2 linked regions of the Kluyveromyces lactis genome follow. The protein of the gene in region 1 interacts with the protein of each later gene in a pairwise test. Links are inferred from orthologs where the notes say so. Each region holds a gene or a part of one and is shown on either strand. Other genes may lie near its edges.

Region 1 (3,766 bases):
ACGCCAGTTTTGGTCGCTTCTTGAGAATCTGGTTTACCTTCAGACTCAGCATTTGCTTCATCTAATTTCTTCTGCTTCATTTCAGCATCCAACTGAGCAGTTTGAATCTGTTTCTTTTCTTGCACTTTCTTCAATCTATAAAACTCTTCTCTATCCAATTCGTCTAGCTCGGAGTTGATATAAGCAATGGTGTTTTCCGTTCTTGGAATGATCACATGTTCAATGGCATTCACTCTACGGTTGGTAACTTTGATAACTTCGTCCAAGATAATGAAAGCCGTTTGTAACGAAGCCAATTCAACTAGTGTTTCAACAGCCCTTGAGTAAATTTCCTTAGCACGCTGAACTTGTTGACCACCACGACCTAGACCTGTCATTTTGAAGTCGTTGATGTTGGAGTCGATGAATGATTCAAATTGAGGCAAGTACACACCACTCACGTTTTCTTGCGTGGCCCTAACTTTGAATCTTGCATTGGCAACATTCTCTTGAACTTGGTACCCTATATTTTCACCTGTAGCATATGTGACCTCCGCCAAAGAGAACGCAGCTGTTTGCATCACTCTGCCCATCTTCTGCTTTGAATCATCTATTCTTTTAGTGATATCACGGAATCTCTTCGTTAATGCTTCAGACTTTCTCTTCAACAAAGAATAACCCTGATTAGCACCCTTTAACTTAGTCTTCATAAGACCCAAGGTCATACGAGTGGGGAAAACCTGTTCCCTATTACTAGACATTTTTCGATAAAATTCAAGATGCTAGGAGTGAAGTCGTTCCTTCCTTGCTGTAATATGTTATCAGTACGCTTAGTACCAAACTCACCTGATTGGTACAGTAGAAAAACAGTTCTTTTCAAAGAAAAAGCAAACGATTACAAGTAAATGTGTTCCAGGTTGGATACTTGTCAGTGCCAGCCTAATTGCAACGTTCTGCCCCAGCTGATATATGCCCCCCTTTTCTACCTTTCTTTCGTCAAATGATTGAATGTCTTATATTTCAGATATTTTGAAAATTGGTTAATTTCGAAATTTAGATATTATTTCATTTACGGTGATATGTCAAAACGTTTAATGAGATGAGTTACAATTAAAGCTCCATCTAAGGTAAAGTTAGTGCACTGTTTTTCCACCAGGTACTGCGAGAGACATATGTTTCGATGGAAATAGATAAATTTGTCAAGGAGGAAGATATTCCGTTTGAGTATGGTGTTGTTAGAGAAAGAGACAATGCTGTATCATGGTCGAGATATTTGGCAACTAAAAGATCAGCAGGCGATGAGTTGAATTTAGATTGGCTATACGAACGTTGTTTGAAGGAGATCAAGGACGACTGGCATCTATGGAAAGAGTTCTTGAAATGGAGGATAGAATTATTGAACGATTGTGATATTTTCAGGCACAAAGATGAATACAATAAGATATCGTTACTATTCGAACAGTGCTTAACATCATGTGGCAAAGTTGGGGATGCATGGATTATGTATATGGAATGGGTAATACAGTTTAAGGATTTGAAGAGGATTAGAGAACTGCTTGGAAAAGCGCTACGATCAATGTCGTGGGAGTACCATGAAGCAATATGGCGTGTTGTCATCGATTTCATTATCAATGAATTGTTAATAGACAACAAGAGGTATGAACTTTCTTTAGAGGATTCCATCTACTATTTTGTTCACGGAGAGCATTCGACGAATTTTGATACAGACCTCTGGTCTTCCTCAATCCTACAGAGATATTCACTTATTTGTGACGACATAGAGCCTTTATTGATCTACATTTTTAAGACTCATGATTGGAGCACGATCGTTCGAGTATTTGAAAAACATCTATCACCTAATTTAAAGCCATCTCAGACAAGTTTATTTGAACTTTACGTTAGTTACATCACTTCAATGATTCTTGTGGATAATTCAGCAGGGGTTGCTGCGGTAGTGGACCAATGTATCGAATTATTCCCTTTCAAGAAGGGTGAACTTAAGACATATTTGATATTTAACCTGATACGTCAAGGAAAAATAACGGAAGCTGAGCTGTACTTAGAGAAAGTTATAAGCGAAACTAAAGACATTATCGAATTTTCTGTATTATATGATTTTTGGATTCGTATGGAGGAGCTATTGACCCAAGAATTAATTCAAAAGATGAAAGACGATAATTCAGAAAAGCAACGGCTGTTCGCAAATATAAGACTACATGCCGACACTCTAACCTCATTAATAAAAAACCACACTATTAGATTAAACGACTTAGAATTGAGGCGAGAACCCAACAACATCAAATTGTGGCTAGAACGAGTGAAGCTTTTTGATACCATCTCTGATAAAGCTAAAGTTTATGCAGATGCTGTTCTTACCGTGGACTATAGACTTCAGACTACTCCAGGGCTATTAGGAGAATTATGGTGTCAATATTGCAGACTTTTTGAAGAGGATATTGAAAAATCCGAGGTCTTGCTGGACAAAGCCACTAACGTCCCTTTCAAATTTTTAGTAGATCTTGAAAATGTTTGGTTATATTGGTGTGAATACAGACTAAAAAGAAGCATTGACGATGCCATAAAAGTTTTGTCCGTTGTATTAGAAATACCAGATAATCATGAATTACTCCTACAAAAATTTGAGAAAGGAGAATCGCCAGCACAAGCAGCAATTTTCTCATCTAAACGCTTATGGGCAATGTACCTTGACTTATTGGAGGTCAAAGGAAACTATGGTACAGCTGTAAATGCGTATGAAACAGCAATACTCATCAAGGCAGCAACACCAGCCATGTTTATTAATTATGCGTTATTAAATGAATCTTCTGGCCATCAAGCAGAAGCTTTGGCTGTTTTCGAAAGGAGTGTTGAGATTTTTCCTCCAAGCGTATCGAAGTCTATTTGGGATATATATCTGGATGTGGCACTCAAAGCTGATATCACTAAAGAGCAAAAAAGAGATATTTTTGAATCTGCTATTAAGCTTGCAGCTTCAGGAGTGGCATGTGTTTCGTTCTTTGAAAAGTACAGCGACTTTGAGTTAAACCTTGGTTTCCACGAGAGAAGTGTCGAGATTTTGCACAAAGGAGCCAAGAATATTTCGGATCTTGAAAGTAAATGTACTTTATGGGAAGAATGCATCAATAGAAGTGAAAAACAATTGGACGTCAATCACACCAGAAAACTATATGAAGAATGTATAGAAACATTGCCCAATTCTAAAGCAATCAAGTTTCTACTTCCATTTGCTATCTTAGAAGAATCGCGTAATGAGGTTGCTCGTTGTAGAGCATTGTTAGACTACGGGAGCAAATTACTGAAGCCCGCACAGAATGAAGAACTTTGGGATTTCTGGAGGAATTTCGAAACTATGCACGGTACAAAAGACTCGTTCAAGAACATGCTAAAAGCACGTAGGTTCCTAGAGGACACAATGAAAGTAAATACAGAGGAAGTATCCAGACATGCAGATAGCATCGAATTTAGGGCGTCAACTGCGAAAATTAGTGGAAGCGGACCACCAAGCGCAGAAGATAAAGGATACTCAAATACGGCTGAAATTGATTTAGGTCTATAAAATGGATATATATTGATTAAAGTTGATAATGGCATATCGATCAATCTCTTATGTTTTGTTTTGGAAGATGTCGTATTGTCTTTCTTTGATGACGTGTAACATACAAAAACACTAGTATCTTACTGTTTTTCGACCCAATCAGTTGAACTCATGTGGGATAATCTACTTAGGGCTCTTGCAAATGCAAACCGTTCTTCATCTAATGCGAAA
Region 2 (3,144 bases), on another chromosome or scaffold:
CTAAAGTCATAATGTGGATGAAATCTTTGATGAAAATATTCATGTTTTCATTACAATTCTCGACGATTTTAGCCAGTAGCTCTAGAGTGACAGAGACATTACCGGAACGTCTTCTGTTCAAATCCGTTGTCGACCTCTTCACAAGGTAACTGCTGACCTTTTCCAATTTTGGACGTCTCGAATTAACATAATATAACAAGTACGAAGTCTCTGACCCTTTTGGCTTCTTATCGGGAGTTCGGCCTGGTGGATAACACTGATTCACCAATTTCTGGTGCTTAGGGGTGAAGAGAAAGCCCATTGACACGGATCGTTGGAGTCTTTTGGATGGGTTTTATCGTCGAACCATCAATAGTGTTGGCGATTTCAATATAGTATGCAATTTCTAAGTTTAAAAAATGTCTTCGAACAAAAAACCCTTTTCCAGTTTTTATTGCGTAATAGAGAGCCAATCATTATATAAACAAGGGAACTAGAAAAACTATAGCTGAAAAAGAACATAATAATGTTAATGATGATCATTATTTAATAAGAGAAGAACAACATATACTTTCTCATTATCTGTCATGTGTTTTCTGAAAGAATTTCAGAGTTTGTTGTATTCTAATAAAATATAGGTAGTTTAAAGACCGAAGTACTGACTGGAGGAAGTCACAAAAGAAACCAGTATCCAGCATTGCTGAAATAATACGAAAAAGGTACCTATGCTCTTGCGAGTAAAGCAATATGTAAACTATGTGTTCGGATACAGTTCCCTCTTTATTCGCTGACATTGTTTTATTTCTTTATAACACTGTGTAAATCTAGATAATCCAATTTTGGGATTGGATTGAAAATAAAATTGACATATACTTGGTGGAAACATAGGAAACTAATTAATAATAGTATCAGCTAAAGCTGTAACGTTGGTTCAAAGGGAAGTTAATCAAAGGCGGTAACCACGTACGATGGCTCCTGTTCCGATTTATGTCAAAGGTGGTATTTGGACGAACCTTGAGGATCAAATATTAAAGGCGGCTGTTCAAAAATATGGAACACATGCATGGAGTAAAGTAGCTTCGCTTCTACAGAAGAAGAATGCCAGGCAATGTCAATCTCGTTGGAATGAATTTTTGAATCCCAGTCTAAACTTCAAACCATTCAGCCAGCAGGAAGATGATAAACTACTAGATTTAGCGAAAAGAATTCCAAACCAATGGAAAAGCATCGGAGAAATGATGGGTAGACCTGCTCAAACATGTATCGACAGATATAATATCCTCCTGGCGATTGATAAGGATGATTTAGAGCTTGCAGCAACTACAGGGGTACAGATCGGTGAGATCAACCCAAATAACGAAAGCTTACCAGCCAAGGCTGATAAAGATGAGCTACTTGACGAGGAGAGAGAAATGTTGGCGGAAGCTCGTGCCAGGCTATTAAACACTCAGGGTAAAAAGGCTACTCGTAAGATAAGAGAACGTATGCTAGAAGAAAGTAAGCGTGTTGCATTCTTACAGAAGCGTAGAGAGTTGAAACAAGCGGGCGTTGATAGTAAAATCAAAGCTCCCAGGAAGAAATATTCTTCGCAGATGGATTACAACGAGGATATTGCGTATGAACAGCAACCACTACCGGGTATATACGATACCTCAAAGGAGGATGAACAGACTGAGAAGCTACTCAAGAGTTTTGAGAAATTGGTAGAAAGGAAAGGTTTACTTGACAGGAAATCTGATGAAAAGAAAACCATACCACAAAAGAGAAGGCAAGGCGAACAAATAACGTCATCAGTAACAAAATTAGATTCTGTACTAACTGATGAGTACAAGAAACCTAAACTTGAGCTTACTCCTGCTACTTTAAAAGGATCAAAACGGAAGATAAACAAAACAACATCTATACTTCATTTATTTGAATCATTGCCTTCTCCTAAGAACGATTTTGAAATTGTATTGGATGATTTAGATGAAGAAATGGAATCCACTGATGCTTTTAATACTGAAAGTTCGTATGTTAATGGTAAATATCCCCTAGAAGCCTTAATATCTTCCACGGAACATCAATCGGAAAACAAGGCAATGGAAATAATGGAATACATACCGACAGTATTCCAAATAAAAACAGAATTACAGGTACCCAGTCCGATAGTAGATCCAAAGAATGAAATTGACCGTGAATTGAATCGTATAATCTCAGCAAAGGAGAATGGTAACCCCATTTACAATTCCACGGAAGTAAACAATTACTTAGAAGAGATCATTAATTCTGCATCCACCACCGAAGTGCCCAGCACTGTCTTACATCCCAAGTTGGAAACTAGCTTAAAAACTATAACACCGGCTACGGAGCACGAACTGCTCGGCATGGAACGAAAAGTGCATGAACTGCGAACAGCGCTTGAGGATTCCGTCAAGTCTCACAGAGAGGCTGTTTCACAACTTTCACAAGATTTTGAAGAAAAACTACATCCGACAGTGTCAGGCTTAGCATACCAATACTACACTGACTACATGAAGTACAGGAACGACCATAAGACTATGCAAGAAGAGACACAATCTCTTGCGGAACAGATCAAACTTGCCCAGCGTAGTCAATGATTACCCGGACCCTTCTTTTTGAGTCTTCCTTCCATAATCATGAAATTTTCAAATTATGAACTTAAAGATGAAAAGATTTACGAAATTGCAAACTTTAAGAACAATATGAGACAGTTAGCAATTGCTCTGTGTGGACATAACAATTCTCCCCTTTATTTCTACTGGAACTCTTTCGAAGCCATCACAAAGCAAATACTAATTCCCGGGCCACGATGATCAGGTACACAGAAGAAGAACTTTTACAATTAAGACCAACCGAACCAGTTAAACCAAACTTCGACGTTGATGAATTCAACGCTATAATTGAAAAAGTGAAAGAAATCCAAGAAGCACATGAAGAAGAATTTTCTCACTTCAGAAGAAGATCTTCTCACCACCATGCTAAACCAAAATTCAAGCATTTGAAACCAAAAATTACTACCGATGAGGAAGGATGGTCTACACTAGAAACTGCTCCAGCGGTCAGAAGAAAGTCTGTGGCTGAAGAAGAAGAACCAACCATTGTCATCGCTCAAGAAACATTGAAGGTGAAGCCAAACAAACACATTTCATCCTCAAGACCAGC

The links.
Region 2: the proteins of SYF1 (region 1) and CEF1 interact in binary tests that used the Saccharomyces cerevisiae proteins (3 or more experiments, as listed by UniProt). The link is inferred for Kluyveromyces lactis from reciprocal best matches to the Saccharomyces cerevisiae genes SYF1 and CEF1.

Annotation. Positions count from the first base shown.
Region 1 is NC_006037.1:178,248-182,013, reverse strand, and holds SYF1 (mRNA splicing protein SYF1), read left to right. Parts: upstream 1-1,159; coding exon 1,160-3,556; downstream 3,557-3,766. Other genes in the region: VMA8 (H(+)-transporting V1 sector ATPase subunit D), read right to left, coding at 1-740; AFG1 (Afg1p), read right to left, coding at 3,676-3,766. UniProt on the Saccharomyces cerevisiae protein: Involved in pre-mRNA splicing and cell cycle control.
Region 2 is NC_006039.1:634,786-637,929, reverse strand, and holds CEF1 (Cef1p), read left to right. Parts: upstream 1-947; coding exon 948-2,579; downstream 2,580-3,144. Other genes in the region: EFR3 (Efr3p), read right to left, coding at 1-301; CAF20 (Caf20p), read left to right, coding at 2,792-3,144. UniProt on the Saccharomyces cerevisiae protein: Involved in pre-mRNA splicing and cell cycle control.